3 linked regions of the Schizosaccharomyces pombe genome follow. The gene in region 1 interacts genetically with each later gene. Each region holds a gene or a part of one and is shown on either strand. Other genes may lie near its edges.

Region 1 (6,900 bases):
AACCTGAAAAACCTAAGGTTCTTAATTTCGACTTCAAGTTAGTTGAGGACTCCATTCTCCCCTTAGAATTAAGCCCTGGCTGCCCGTTTTATAAAATATGGCATATAAGGAATACTTCTTGTCAATCGTGGCCTTCTCCGTTGTATGTCAAGTTTAATGGTGGAGACAAACTTTTTCCAGGAGACAATCCATATTCGTTTCCTATCACTTCTTCCGTTCATCCTGGTGAGGATGTTAATTTTACAGTTGCTTTGAAGGTTCCTGAAAAAAGTAACAAAGAGATTTTTACCGCATTTTTTAATATCTGCTCCGATGATGGTAGCGTTTTTCACAAAAGTCTTTGCGCCTTCCTTCGTGTACCGAAGTCTTTTAGCAGAATTAGTAAGTCGTCTTTTTGAAACCATTCGTAACGCTTTTTATGTCCTGTAGAAGTTTAGTGTGGAAGACAACGATAACGAAACTGATTTCAGTTTTATATTTCTTTCTTTTGTCCACTTGTCTGGCGGTTGTTCGTATATAACCGCCGGTTTTAAGTTCATGATTTGCTTCAGAGTTGAATCACTTGTTACCATATTTGATCCTACCTTGTTATAATGATCTTGATGGAAATGCTATATATGTTTAAAATTTATATTAAAAATTATATATTAACGAATAAAATGCAGGATACATATGAATATGCCAGATTAAATAATAGTATACATTGATGATAAAACTCTAAAGAGTTTTTGCTTCATTAATTATGGATTCCTTTATGATTACTTTCGATGAAAGTTCATTAGTTTTGGCACTGCTTGATACAGTAGGTTCCTCCTTTTTTTGTAGAAACGAGTTTAATCTAGCCATAGCTTGTTTTTTGATGTGAAATGGTTCTCGTGATTTGCTAAGCGAATCTTTTAGTCTATAAATCGCTTCCTTATTTCGTAACATAGGGCACGTGTCCCTTCCACTAAAGTGAGGTGTTCCACATAAAAAGCATATTTCTAATGGCACAATGCTTAATGGACAATGTGCTGGTAAATGTTTAATACCACAACATCGACAACGTACATTATCAGACAAAGAAGACAGTAGAAAAAAGTTGTCAAGAACTGCTTTAGACAAAGATCTTCCAACCAGTTGATGATTTTTTTCAATTATTTCGTAAGGTGGGTAAAAAACTGGATCGTCTATCAGTTGCATTTCCGAATCATTAATATACTCTGAAGAAGTTAATTTGTTAGCCACCTCTAAATTGATGGTGGATAGAGTTTTGTTAAATTCATCTTCTTTGGGAGTTGTTGCTAATAGAGATTTAGCTAAGATAGAGTCAAAATGAACATCTGCAGACTTTTGAGAATCAGATTCATCATTTAAGTTTTCGATATTTACGCTCGAATCATATTTGAGTTTTTGCTTATCAGATAAAGTATCTGTTATCGAACTGATTGTCTCAGTTTCTATGGGAAATGGGGAGCCTGGTGATGATCGATCATTAACGGTATAATCAGTATCGTCGCTATTATCATAAATATTTAAATCTTCGCCATAATGGATTTTGTGGTGTGCACGAAGTCTCCTGTTGGAAGTTGTTTCGTCTGTTTTTTCTAGCATTGCATCCTTCTCTCGTTGCTTAAGTATTACTGACCAGACATCTTCTTCATCAACAAGAACATTTTCTTTGACTTCATAATGATTGGAAGATATATGTTTGTTATCCCAAACACGAAAAAAGCCAAACTTATTGCTTTTTATATCTGATTCATCAGTTGAAGTATCTTCTTGTTTCTCAGCTTCTGAGATAAGTAATTCTACCGAATATTCATTATACTTAATAGACGGTTCATCACCAGCCTCTTCAAATAATGCACGAGCCCCATGCCGCAAGATACTTTCTAAATCTTTTTCTGAATTATGATTTTGATCCAATGACTCAACAATTAAGTGGTCCAATACAAGCTTCTTTTGAGCGTTTTGAATGATTTTTTCCTCTACAGAATCTCGAGTAGTTAACACAAAGACAAGTACCTTTTTTTTTTGCCCATATCGATGAGCCCTTGCAATCGCTTGCATGTCTTGATGAGGATTGAAATCAGGATCTAGTATAATAACAGTGTCCGCACTAGCTAAATTGATGCCAACTCCACCAGCACGGGTAGAAAGTAAGAAACATGACAACTCAGAATTAGGAGCATTAAAAGAGTCGATTGCTGACTGCCTTTCCATTTCCGATGAGGCGCCATCAAAACGTGCATAGGCTATGTTTTTATATTCAAACCAATCTTCAAGGATATCGAGTTGCTGGATAAATTGAGAAAACAATAATATACGATGCCCGCGAGTTATCAATTTCGGTACCAATAAGCGTAATATTAAAAACTTACAGCTGGCTTCTTCCAGTGAACGCATAGCAAGTTCATACGGGAGATTACGGTCTTCAATATCTGGTGAATAAATGTACGGATGAGCTAATGTTTTTCGAAGTTGCATCAAAATGTTGTTCAATGAAGTAGTCCTTTGCCCTCCAGAAGAACTGGTATTAGCATAGCCGGTAATATTACGTAGCAAAGACAAATTTTTTGAAAGAATCGATTTGTATAAACCTTTTTGAACAGGTGTCATGGACAAAGGAATAATTACTTCAACCTTCGTAGGAAAGTTATCCAGTACTTCGCTTTTCACTCTTCTTAAAAAAAACGGCTTTAAGATTTGATGAAGTTCAGTCACCTTTTCCGTATCAATAATGCTGTATCTTTTTTCAAGCTCAGCAGCATTTATTTTCATGGGATTTAAAAACTGCAGTAAATTAAAAAGTTCCCGAACATTATTTTGCAATGGCGTCCCGGTTAAAAGAAGCTTAAAGTCACTTTTAACCGAAGAGAGGTAATAAAAGAGGGAAGATTGATCATTTTTTAGTCGTTGTCCTTCGTCAACAATTAAAACTTTCCACTGAAATTTTCGGAGCAATGAAATTTCACGTTCAACATTTGAAGCACTTATAACGAGGACATGAGTGCTTACATGTTTTGGGTCTTTTTGATTGATTAGACGATAATCACGGACTAAACTTCTGTTTTTTTCAGAGCCCACGAGTACATTAATTTGTAGAAAGGGAGCCCATTTTTTAAGCTCTCGTTCCCAATTTGCAACAGTGGCATGAGGGACAATAACCAGTACCGGGAAGCATTTATGTCTGTAAAATAAAACACTAATGAAAGATATTACTTGTACAGTTTTACCTAAACCCATTTCATCAGCTAAAATACAAGGATGATGTGTGTACCATCGTAAATAAAGCCAGTTCAGCCCTTTCAGTTGATATGGCATTAGTGTACCACCTTTGATAAAACTTGGTTGAGAGTGCCACTCAAGATTAGTAAATGGTAAATCAATATTTATCGAAGCTGTAGGGGCTTTTTCGATCCATAGACATTCCAACAAGTCCGAATACCCTTTTAACCACGCTTTCCAGCGATTTCTATCTGTTTCTTTAGGAGGTGGTTCCCAATTTGACATATAATAAGTTAAACCACGCCAAGAAACAAAGGCGAATGTAACTTCAGAAATTGCCTTCAGTTGATGTTTTTTTGTTTTATATTTTGCCGTTCGAGCATTCTTTCCACTTCTATATTGAACATCCCAAACCTTATCGATTATTGTATACGATACTGGAATAATGGGCTTAGTTGCGTCGTATGAGGCATTCTCCAAACCATCGAAATTTTTCTTTTTAGCTAATGAAATACCGGCTAGCCATGAAGCAGAACACCAAAAACAGTGAAGGTAAGACTTACCTTTGCTTCGAACGAAATACTCTCTAGACCAAAAGCTCAAGTCCGATGTACTAACAAAATTATTTGAAAGGGTAGCTTTTGAAGGATATAAACTGTTTAGAGTTCTCCAAGCAATTATCTCTTCAATATCACAAGGATGCATAGAACATTCATTACAAACAAGTTTTTTTATAAAATGAGTAATTGTTCTCTGAATAGACAAAGGATTACTGTCCAGATAAAAAAAATATTCGACACGCCTACATCGAAAACACCGAAACCTTATAGACTTGCAGTAATTGACTAAAATTGACAGAGATTCCCTATCAGCAAGGGATGGGGGGATAACTAGATCCTGTCCAGAAGAAACGCCTGAAACAAACCCGGTATTACACAAAACGTCCTTAGAGTTTTTGGAACATAAAGGACATATAAAACCATTTTGCTGAGAGTAATTACGCGTTTCTTTATTTAAAGAAGGGAGTGGAGAACAGTCATAGTGGTATACATTTGAGCAATGATCACAGTAAACAAAATTTTTACCAGAGGAACGATGTTCACGTCCATGACATTTGACACATACACAGACGTGTAAAAATTTGATAAAATCAAATCCGTCAGAGTAAAGAAGTGAGAAATAAGGAGCTTTATTATCGTTTTCTGTGGACTCAATTTCCGAAGAACTTAGATCGGAGCTACCAAAGTCGGACGTGTCATTGAAAGATAAATGCGACAACGATAACTCATTATGCTCTTTTCTATTAACCTTCTTATTTGTATCAGATGAAGATGAAGTTGCACTGTCAGAAGCCGTTTCATCACTGACAAATGAAGGATTAAGTGCGCAGTGAAATTCCTTTCCGAACTTAAATTTCTTGGTACGTGTTGAGTCCCTTAAGACTTTACTACCATTAGACTTCAGTAAATAATCATTTTTCTCTTCCTCATCCTTATCGGTTGAAGTCATATACCCATGGTACCTCTTTCGAGATTTGTGTTTTAACCATACTCTTAAACAAGCTTTTCCATTTTTATATTTATCAAGTTCATCTTTTTTTATCAATGCTTCAACACCCGCCAAGAATTTAACACTCAGTGTGCTGTCATTTTCGTGCAGTATTTTTTGAACGGTGGTTTCAGACGCGTCATAATAAGGTAGTAAAACATCAAGCGGTTCACGACGTACTACTATTTTACATAAAGAATCATCTTCTTTTGGCATGCTTTGAGATGAATATCTAAATATTCTTGGTAAATACTGTGTATTTGGAGTTGTCCTTAAATTTCACTACGTAACGCAAAGAGAAAGAATTACCAGTAGTAAACGGTTATAAACAATAGCTATTATACAGTACATTAATAGTAACAAACAAGTTTTAATCTTTTAGATGTCATTTTAAGCACGTACAAACCTTTGATGACTTCTTTGACCCTGATGGTGGGTTTTAGTAAAATGGTTATTAGCATTCGAATGAGTACGCGCGCGTTGATGTTCATTTGTCTGAGGAAGAGATTGCTGCTGTTGTGTAAGTTGAGTGTTAGAAGAAGCTGTAGTCTGGGGAGCTGAAAAAGCTACTTGGTTTGTTAAATTTACAGCAGGCATCATAGGGACGAATGCAGCAGCATTCATAGCATTCATTCCTTTAGGAGCCATATAGGTATTTGCGGATACAATGTAGGGCGGTGGTGGACATCCTAAGTTAAAGACATTATATTTGGCTAAAATTCGGAATATTAGACTTCGTATTCAACAAAAGTATTATAAAGTAATAACTTACGAGGAAACGCATAAGCATAAGGAAGGTCTAGCGAACCATTCCCCTTTTTTAAAAATCCAGAGGATGCCCTTTCTTCAAGTTGTTTTTGGGCTTCTTCTTGAGCTACTTTCGTATAGTAGTCCTGAACATTTTGTATATGGGCTCTTCCAGCATTGTGTGCTTTTCTAACTGATTGGCTATCATGAGTGAGCCAAACTTGGCAGTAATCACACAAATCTAAGCATTAATTAGTTTTCAATTATTGTTATTCATCGTATCATACATCTTGGCATTTTAGCGTGTTTGGCTGTTGTTGAGTCTTGTAATAAATGTGAGCTGTGTTGAAACGCTAAAATGATTTAAAAAGAAATTAATGTCAATTAGCAACAACTATACAAAGAACGTTCATAGTTAAACATTGAATGTTAAATTACTGTTTATCTATGCTTTACAAAGTGTTGAAACGAAGCTCTCGAATTTTCAACTACTTTAAAATCCAACGCCTTGAAGAGTCGGGAAGGTGCAATCATTTAATATTTTAATATAATTAAGTTACTGCTGTACTTTCAATATCTCTTCACGATCAGGGCTTTTAAGTACCAGACATTCTTGGTTATGCATTAAGTGTTGCATTTGAGAGAACAATTGTAATTTGGAGTATAAGTTATTTATTGAATTTCATTTATTGTCATGCTCATTTCAATGAAATAAACTTCTCATGAGAAAGCCAGATATAATCCATGTAAGGTGAATACTCACACCTTAACCAAAAATTTTTTGCCTTTACTGAAACTATTAAATTTCCATTTGATAGTTAAATACTTGAAGTGTTTTATGTTTTATTTGCTTTTAAACTGTTAAATTGATTGGGAATATTGTGAAGTAAACTACTGGCCGGCTGTTAAGTGTTAAAGAAAACTGTGCTTGCCATTATTACATTGCTTGTCAATATATGGACATGACTGTTTCAAACCAAAAAGCAGAAAGTGATGATGGTTCAGACATCGACGATGCGGCCTTGTTACAAAAAATTAATTCTTTACCGATTGACCAGAGTATCACAAATTCGGTGAGCTTGGAAAAGCATGATTTTCAAGGAAGTGATGACCATGACTCCTCTACGGATCTTTCCGATAGTACTTTGGAAGATGTGGAAGGAAGTGAATGGGCAGACGTATGGATTGAAAAGTTTTTTTTTAATACTTTTTACTAATAAAATTTAGGTGAGCAGGGGTAGATACTTCGGGTCAGATCCCTCAGAAAGTATAGTTTGCCATAATTGTAAAGGGAATGGTCACATATCTAAAGATTGTCCTCATGTTCTGGTATGCATTTTGATCGGACATTGTTTTTTTAATAGTGTTACTAACTGTATTACAGTGTACGACTTG
Region 2 (4,308 bases), on another chromosome or scaffold:
AATCCAACCAACAGCGACCAGTACAAGGGAATTTCTCTACGTAAAAAAATGCTAAAGGCCGCTAAAGGGCTGATCCATCCAACGGAAAACAAACACTTAAAGTAATCCAGTCATTCGTCCAAAAACTTTTCTGAGAATTCGCAGTTTTAACAGCGTTCTTACGCATCTATCCAAACGAACCTTATTTTTTTTTCTTCTTCATCGAACGAATCATACAAAAAACATCAAAAAAAGCGATTAATCAATTCAATGGTGCATCAACAACTCTTTCTGTACAAGTGTTGCTTCATAAAGAGGGTTAAACGACTTTACTTCTTGGGAACAGTCTGACGATTCTGAAAGGCCATCATGCTGCCGATGTATTGGCACAGATACTCGCTTTCTCGACTAATGTTTTCAGATTCCTGTTTGTTTTGATCGATCTCATCCAACAAAGCTATCAATTGTTAGTCTTTTCTTTCTCCAAAACGCACCGCCATCGTACCTTGCAATTGCTGTTGCAATTCCATCGCTTTCCTATCAATTTAGCAAAGAACTAGCAAAACCACTTACTGCTCCATCAAACTTCTTGGCAAGGAATCTGTACTCATTGAGTAATGCGCTTTTTTTGTTTTTTTGCGGAAAATGGGAGGTTGGGAAGTGTCTTACCAGCGTAGCGTCAATACATGTCATTTCCCATTGCTGTGACTTAGGGGTGTCACTCAATTTAAAGAGGCCACTGCAAGAGACATTATCCTTAATTGAGTTGAGTATTGCTATACGCAATATTTAAATAGCGTTTTATGTCATAATACGTTTTATTAGCGAACGGATTACATTGGAGTACGCAACTGATGGGTCTTGCAATAAACAAATATACATAGGGCGAAAACTAGAATGAGTGCTGCTGTCTTTTGGATGAATAAGTTAAATATGGAACATACTAATAATGGATCCACACATTAATAAACTGGAAAAAGATCCCGTCCCGTAAGGATAAATCGAGGAGAGAAAGCTTGCGTCTGTGCCCTAATTATGTTTTGAAAAACATGAAATGCACACTTCATACACCAGGATGCGAAAGTCTTTCAACAATTTACATGGGAAAAAAAGAAAATAATAATCTAATAGAACTCCGTTCCAAAATATGGAACGTTGGTACAAATGATGCGTTTAGGGCGATTGGAAGAGGCATACAATAGATGCTTCTTCCCTCCATTATGCAACGGAAAGGTCGACGGTTCAAAAATGAATTTAAATAAAAGATGTGTTATGAAAAATGCTTTATGGTAACAGGAAAAAAAATGCTATTCCTCTTTTCCCATTCCATAGTTTTTATTCTCACACTATCACCAGTCATGAATATTTTACATCGAAAAAATAACGGGTAGAGCGATATATATGCGCAAACTAAAAGAGAGTATACAAAAAAGTAATCATGTTCTTTATCGGATTAGTTCTTGTCAATATTAGTATTAGCATTCAAAAAATAGTCCGATTATCATTTTACTGAGACGTCTCTGGTTTCTCCTCAGGTTTCTCTTCCGCAGCTGAAGCATTTGCAAGAGCCGACTCTTCTTCTTCTTCCTCTATATCAATTTCTTCTTCTTCTTCTTCTTCCGATCCTTTCCCATCATTTTCTCCTTCTCCATCACCATCACCTTCTCCATCACCGTCTCCATCGTCTTCCTCCTCCTCCTCCTCATCGCCTTCTCCCTCTTCATCGAATTCTTCCTCCATTTCATCAGCTTCCTCCTCTTCTTCCTCTTCGTCCGCGTCAGGCTGAACTGGTGGAGCATCGTCAAAGTCGGGATTATCCCACTGAATGTTGAATCGAGTCACCCTTGGCTTTTCTGCTAAAATACTGCGCCAGACTTTAGAAATGTCAACCTTGACCTTTTTAATTTCTGCATCGTCCATTTCCTGAAGGTTCAGGCCCTCCATCTCATTGTTGACATAATAACCTACTCGAACAAACTCATTATCCTCATATGCACAAGAGAGTAAAATAACTGTGACACCCAAAACATCGCTGAGTTGAGGTAAAAGATCGATATTAGGAGGATCAGCTTCAAAAACGAATTTATTAATCCCGATTGGTATAGGTCCCACTAGTAGCGTGTCCAAAATTTGGTCGTAACTTTGAGACGTCGCACTACCTACATATGTCAACTTCCATTCCAGGTCGCTTTTTAACGGCTCCAGACATTCAAAGGTAATTTCGAATTTATATGGATCAGAGAACTTTGCCGGATTATTTAGCACATTAACACTAAGGATATTCACGATTGACATTTCGAAGTGAAACGCGTCTAAGCGATTGCCAAGAACAGCGTAGGTGAAGAAAGGTTTCGTAGAGTTCGGATAATTAAGGATACGCTTGACTATTTTATATCGCTTTTCGTGCTCTAAGGTAATAACACCTATTTGATTCAAACATATAAGGATTAAAATGCAGTAAATATAAATACTGAAGGCACATCTAAACAATGCCTCACTATTCGGTAAACAATAGAAAACATAACCATTGTTAAGTATTTTATGCGAAAGTACGAAGAACTTACAGAGCAGTTTAGTTAAACATAACCGTTGTTTAATAAAAATTTCTATTTCATTAATAATGCATGCAATGTACAATTAATATGATCATCAAATTTCATTGTGCAAAAACAACTCGTATGTGAAACATAAAAAATAGACATAACCTCCTTCATCTCTAATTATTAAAAAAGATATACAAGCGGATTAAAACATATATTTAGGGTTATTGTAAGTTCCTTCGATCATTCGGTTATATAATATTGATGCAGCTTAACAGCAAATCCGAATGACTTGTTAATGATGTGAATTTCCATCAGTATGGAATTGTAGTACCATCATAGTTGAAAAAAAATCCATTATTTTCGGGCTTCAAATTGTCTACAACTTTCAACATATCTGAAGCGCTTTGGTCTGGTGCCAAGGCCTGTTTCGCAAAGATATCTAAAATTTCCGGTTTCGCTTCAGCATGCTGATTTACAGCTTCCTGAGCTGAATCGGTTCGAACCATTCCGGGATGAATTGAAATCACTATGAATCCTTCATCTTGTAGCTCAAAACTAATTTCCTTCATTGTAAAATTTAAAGCAGCCTTGGATTGGCCATAACCAGATTGGTTAAATGGGAAGAAAGCACCCATGGATCCAACTAATGATGAAGTAAAAACAATGATTTTAGATTCTCCTTTCTTCACAAGAGGATAAAAGGCTTGGTAGACATGAATTGGTCCTAAAACATTGGTTTTATAGTGAGAGTTCCAGACATCATCAGGAGTATTCAGAACAGTGTTGAAAGAATGAAAAATGCCCGAATTTACCCAAAGAACATCTACTTTACCTACAGCTTTTGCAACTTCTTGAGCGGCTTCATTAGCACTCTCTAGAGAGGAGATATCTAACTTAATAATATGCACATTGGAATGAGACTTGCTCCATTCTTGTAATTCAGTAGCAGCTTCAGGCTTGCGGGCACTTGCAAATACAACTGTTCCTTCTCTGTTGCTCAATTCCTTAACAAGAGAGAGTCCAATGCCTCGATTTCCTCCTGCAATAAAGTAAATTTTGTTGGTAGTAGACATATTCTAACACAATATTTGAATGATCCTTGAATCCGTTTGAAAAGTGTAATTTGGTGTCGGCAATTTATCATTAACTTCGTGCTTATATACCAATTCTTCAAATCATTATGCTTACGTGATTTGAACCGTGAATTTTGATGCTTACATAATTGAATATACTTCCAAAATCAGCAGGTTCATAGTAGTTCACGTAGAGCGTTAGGTGATATTTTGCCATATAATATGGATATTGCAACTAATCTTTATAACCCGTTCCATTGGTTTGTCAGCTGCTTCCTTGATACTGCTTGCATACTGAATAGTATTCCTTTAAATGCACCTTTCTTTTAATTTCCTTGATAAAGTATCATAAAGGGAGAATTTATTTGAAAATTGTTTAATTGATAATGCTGAGACATTGGCCATAGGAGAAAAGCGTTGAATCAGGATACAAAAAAACAACTCTTTTAAACCTTGAAGTCCTTTCACAATAAAAATTATTAAACAAAAAAAACATAGAAATAGAATAATTTTAAGATAAAATATAAGTTTGCAACCGATTTAAGCATTGCTGTATGAACACTTGAATTTTTTATATGCGACGCCCTTCTTTATATATCCAAAGGTTGAATAAAACGTATCAAGATCTAAAACTGCTGAACAATCCAAGTGGCACCTTGGACTCGCTCAAACTTTTTATGCTCGTAAACATTTGTAAGAACATATGAAATTAA
Region 3 (5,178 bases), on another chromosome or scaffold:
AATTAGTCAACGTCGAGATATGGTTACAGAATGGCAAACACGGCCCGAACTCTTTGTATTTCTACTTTCAACAAGGGCAGGTGGTTTGGGTATTAACTTAACTGCCGCTGATACTGTTATTTTTTATGATTCAGACTGGAATCCTAGTATTGATAGTCAAGCCATGGATCGAGCTCATCGTATCGGTCAGCAAAAACAAGTCACCGTTTACAGATTTATTACTCGTGGAACCATTGAAGAACGGATTGTTATACGTGCTAAAGAAAAGGAGGAAGTACAAAAAGTGGTTATTTCAGGTGGAGAAACTCGGCCAACTAAACAAATGGACCTTAAGGGTAACTCAAGAGAAATGGTTTCATGGCTATTAGAAGAATAAATGGTGTGTGTATAGCTAAAGTTTCGTTAACCCGTTTTATTAAAAATTACTTAACCTAATAGTACATCAATTTTTGCATGGAATTTAATTAGCTAAATATTAACCTATTAATCAAAATGCTATACCGGTCCAGTCCAGGGTTATATAATTAGATGAAATGTTGTAAACAGTCGACGTGCATTTAGACACAAATACGGCTTCTATGTCTGGAAATTAAAGATTGTATTTAAAAAAAAAAATAGTATTAAAATATTACATCAAGGAAGAAAAAAAAAACTAGACACCAGGTATTAAAGACATGCAATATTTGGAACTATAGTATGGTAGACGTTGCTACTTGTCGCAGTTAAAAATACTGGCGATTAAGCAGCTTTTTTCGGGGATTCGCCAATACTGGGTGAATCTGTAGGAGTTGTAGTCGCAGTGCCAGAACGCGATACAACTGTGTCCAAATATCGAAATGCCCAAACTCTCAGCTTTCGCTGCTGAGAGTCTGATAATTCATCTGGTAAAGCTTTTTCTTTTTTGGATAGAACTAACTGAATATGCTTTTTCAAGATAATTTCAGTCATTTTCTTTACTCTCAATTTAAATTCAGCTTTACCAAGCTTCTCTTGGTATCTAGCTGTTTTGTTAGCAAAAAATTTTGCCAAAACTGCCTTAAAAGCAATGCTTTCAGGACTATGCGAAGTTAAATGATGATCAATTGTGGCATCCTGAGAGCTTTTCGTCTTCTTTTCATGCAACTTTTTGGCATGTCTTTTCAAACTTTCTTCGTAAGCAAGACGTCTCTTTTCTTCTCTTTTCTGCTGAGCTATTCTTTCTTCTTCCTCCTTCTGTGCCTTCAACACATTTTTCTGATTGACACTCTCCATTGCCGCTGAAATAATCTTGTTTAAATCTACTTTATTAGCTTGATTGCTGACTTGTTCTTGCTCATTATTTGGTGTAGTTGTTTCAGAAGGAGTGTCAGAGTTAGAAAGACGACGACGTTTAGGGAAAGAATTTTTACGAAAAAGGTTGTGTTTTGAATGGCTTTGATAGTCATTTCCAAACTTGGAACGTGAACGACTATCACTAGGCCTAGAAGAATGTAATGCTGGATGTTTCTTGCTCAAATCTTCTGTTGAATTATTGATTGCAGATTTTATATCTCCCTTATCGCCACGTTGTGGTTCCTGATCCCTTAAAGGAGGATTACTTTGATTATTGGAGGGTTCTGCGTTCGTTGACTGTGGAGCAACTTGACCAGGCTTCCTTCGGGGAATTCGATAAGCTATCTCCAAAGATTCCCATTCTTTTAAAAGAGTTTTGGCATGATCTTTGACCTCCTCGTTCTCATGGTCGCAAAACTCTTGAACAACGGGCTCAATATTTGAATCTTGGATTTTATTTCTTGTTAGGCGTGGCCAAGATAACATGGTTTTTATAGAACGTAGTATAAACTCAATATCAATGCTGAACTTCTTCAGCATCAAACCAAAAATGTTGTAACCACGTAACGCAATGATCGAACGGCATACACTAGGATCTGAAGTCAAGAAAATGCGTTCCATTAACTTTCTTGTTAATAAGTCATCCTTAGTTTGCAGGAGAACGCCAATCACTTTAGTAGCAGACTCAGATGTCAGAGGAGTAGGTTGCACCTCTTCAATAATTTTGCTAGTTTCGTCAATTCCCTTTTTACGACGTTGTCGACGTGCAGTGATGTTTTCCCAGCTATCCTCTTCATCTTCAATACCAAGAGCCTCTCGGACATTCTCAGGTAGTTTCGATTGAGCCTCAGTTTGCGTCTTTCCGCCAATATACCCTACACAGCAAGGTTCTCCGCAATAACAAGGTTGGGCTTGTGCACCATATCTATCGACATTATAGTCAAAAGTAAGCTCTTCACCGCGAATAATATCTCTTTTACAAAATATACCCATTCTTAGCTTATCTCCTACCATCCATTTATCAACATAACAATTAGGTCTACAAGAGTGATTGCAAAATCTTGCGAGCGACCCCCTTTTAGTAGCATCAATATATTCCCCCTTTTGCAGCATCATGAAGTAAAAGTGTTTAATTCCCTCACTATCGTATTGTCGCATACGTTTACGAAACTTTTGTTCAGGTATAACTTCTCCAATGTATTCGTAGACAAATGTGTCTTTGGGTAAATTGGCATCAGCGCGCAAACCAAACCCTTTCTTTTCGGTTAAGAAAACATCCACCTTTGCAAATTCATGTCTTTGAAAGCGTTGGTTTTGACAGGATGGTCCACAAACGTTATCTTCGTCCGTACACTCTATAGAAGTCATTCTATTAATACAATTGGATCCGTGCCCACAAGCAACATTAACTCCATCTACCCAATGAGGCCGACAATCGCAAATCATAGCTTCGTTTTCTGGAGGCTTACCAATATTGGCGGAAGCATACTGACATTCTTGAATCTCTTCGAACGTAGTTAGCGCCTTATCTTTCGCAGAATCCAGGTGATGAAAAAGTTGAGGAGGAAGTGCCTCTTTTCTAACATATTTGCTTTGAGACCGAGAGGATGCAGACGATGGCGAGGACGTAGAAGGGGAAGGAGCACTTTCGTCTTTATTCATCCCTTCGGCATCCTCTTTACTTTCGAAATCATGAGATGACGAAGAAGATGGTGATGAACCGACTGCCTGGACAGCGATTGTGTCTTTTGACCAAGAAGACTTCCTATCAACGTTTTCCTCATTCAAAGGAGTTAAAACAGAAAGAGATGATGCCGTCTGCATTGTATGATAATGGACAAAAAGAAAGAGAAAGTTAAAAAATCTACAGTTTTATTGAACAAAAAGTAATTGCCGAAGGAAGCCAAAACAATAGAAAGAAGACCAGCTGAAATTTCACCGAAAATCTTCTTTTTAGAAAATTTCCGAAAATATCTCGATGCGTAACATATAGATCTTCTAACGTTTCAAAGTTTCGTGTCAAAGAAACAGTGAGATCAGGAAATTGTCTCAAGGAAGAAGTTGTGGCTGTTGGCGGCGTTCCTTCTTTACTCGCGGAATCCTCGTAGGGGCTCACAGTACCGGAGTGTAAACGACAACTCTTGACTTTAGTGTTAAATATTAAAGAAACCTATTAAAAGAAAAGGCTTTAAAATCTTTACTTTCATTTCATTCAAGCATCTACAAAAAATCACCATCACGCGCAACATTTGAATGCCATTCTTTTCCAGAAATTCCATAATAGTTGTTGAAGAAATAACACTGTTAGTGTAATAAAATTCACTCTGTTTTTTACACTCGGCGCCTTATGTAGCGAATATCTTTGAATTAATAATATCAATCATACTATGTAACTGTAGTAGGTTGTTTATCCAAAAAACATATGGTACGCAAAGATAGACACTAATTATCAACAATGAATGAATAAGAAAAGCTTTTTCAACGAATATTTTGAGTGAGGCAGTCAGCGTGCTCATACTGGATAGACCCAGAACAAGTAAGTTTACAATATGTTCAATTTACAAATCCAAGCATGTGGTATTGAATTATATTTGGTATTCTTTTTGTTCCCTTGGTCTTATTAATGTAAAATCATCATCTACCTGCATCTATTGAAGCAGTAATTAAACAGAAGTTTGAGAATCGGTAAAGAAAGAAACTAGGAATGTATGTAATAAAGTCATTTTATTTTGAAAATGCTCATCCTGTTAATTCTAGGTAGATTCTTTATTTCTTCAAACCCAACCACTTTTGTTAATATTGTTTAAACACATAATATATACATTGGCGAAATTGAAATAATGCTAAAATTTTGTCAGAGCATTAGTCATTGTTAATTTTAAAAAGCTATTAAACAAAAATAAAGGCTAAGAAAAAAAGATAAACCTATTCCATATGTTTATATATGTGTATCTTATCTTAAAAGGTCTTTAACTCAAGCTATACTTACTACAATCTATATGCAGCTACTTGTCCTTCATGGCACGACGGTGCCAGTAAAGTTAATAAGAAAACCATACCGAACAGGGGCCAAGTTACGATGAGACAACATGTGAAGAACAAAGGAAGAAGCGATTTCAAGCTTTGCAAAAGGTTTGACCAAATTTAACGAACAAACGTTTCAGCTGTTACCTTGAAAGCAGTTGGCAATAAAAGAGAAAGCGAATTTAATTGCTTTAAATGTTTTACTTTAACTCTTAGATATAAAGAGTGCGGAAAAAGTGGCAGAACCACAAGAAAACAAGATCTCAATCGCAAAAGCAATAAAACTGCAATTCCAAATTTTGTAGATTTTCTACCATTTATGAATAACGTGGGTTAGTGAAATGTAAAGAGATCCGTGTTCGATAGGCATTCCCCAGACAAATTTGACTGCTTTAAACGTCACAAAGCCGAGTAGCAAACGCTCCCACAACCAAACACTACACAAAGGTTCGTCGACAATTTATTTTGGAAAAAATGCACAGCAGCAAGCGAGTTATGACCACAAAGACTCATGTTGAGCAGCCTGAGTCTTCAATGCGTCCTCAGCTTCCCGAAAGCATTCAAGGCTCCTTAATGGACGTGGGAATGCGGGTTCGTAAATCAATTTCCACCGGATACAAGTCGAAACAAACCACGTTTCCTGCCTATAACCCACCGCTTTACAACACTGTTTCTGAAAACATTGCTTTAAAAAATACCGCATTTTCTTATGAGCCTAACGGTACTAAGCGTCCATTCGAGCAAGCAATTCCTAATTATAACTGGGCCAATCCTCCTCAAGACTTTGAAGAACCGGAATGGTTGAAGCCGTTTGACGTTGTCATGGAGGGTACCAATGAGAGA

Evidence for each region.
Region 2: of mit1 (region 1) and asf1, changing one enhances a phenotype caused by changing the other (phenotypic enhancement), as found in Schizosaccharomyces pombe (one study listed by BioGRID).
Region 3: of mit1 (region 1) and set2, changing one enhances a phenotype caused by changing the other (phenotypic enhancement), as found in Schizosaccharomyces pombe (one study listed by BioGRID).

Annotation. Positions count from the first base shown.
Region 1 is NC_003423.3:980,142-987,041, reverse strand, and holds mit1 (SHREC complex ATP-dependent chromatin remodeller Mit1), read right to left. Parts: upstream 4,975-6,900; coding exon 718-4,974; 3' UTR 620-717; downstream 1-619. Other genes in the region: protein Nbr1, read left to right, coding at 1-398; U1 snRNP-associated protein Usp103, read right to left, coding at 5,149-5,471, 5,531-5,746, 5,793-5,802; TRAMP complex zinc knuckle subunit Air1, read left to right, coding at 6,462-6,683, 6,733-6,834, 6,890-6,900. UniProt on the Schizosaccharomyces pombe protein: Required for proper positioning of nucleosomes at heterochromatic loci and for transcriptional gene silencing (TGS) function of the Snf2/Hdac-containing repressor complex (SHREC).
Region 2 is NC_003421.2:1,642,282-1,646,589, forward strand, and holds asf1 (histone H3-H4 chaperone Asf1), read right to left. Parts: upstream 2,304-4,308; 5' UTR 2,275-2,303; coding exon 1,486-2,274; 3' UTR 621-1,485; downstream 1-620. Other genes in the region: SPOM_SPCC663.18 (GTPAse-interacting protein), read right to left, coding at 309-436, 485-516, 553-590; osr1 (dehydrogenase), read right to left, coding at 2,834-3,595. UniProt on the Schizosaccharomyces pombe protein: Histone chaperone that facilitates histone deposition and histone exchange and removal during nucleosome assembly and disassembly.
Region 3 is NC_003424.3:5,407,680-5,412,857, forward strand, and holds set2 (histone lysine H3-K36 methyltransferase Set2), read right to left. Parts: upstream 3,387-5,178; 5' UTR 3,136-3,386; coding exon 739-3,135; 3' UTR 501-738; downstream 1-500. Other genes in the region: SNF2 family ATP-dependent chromatin remodeller Ino80, read left to right, coding at 1-376; spd1 (ribonucleotide reductase (RNR) inhibitor), read left to right, coding at 4,810-5,178. UniProt on the Schizosaccharomyces pombe protein: Histone methyltransferase that trimethylates histone H3 'Lys-36' forming H3K36me3. Involved in transcription elongation as well as in transcription repression.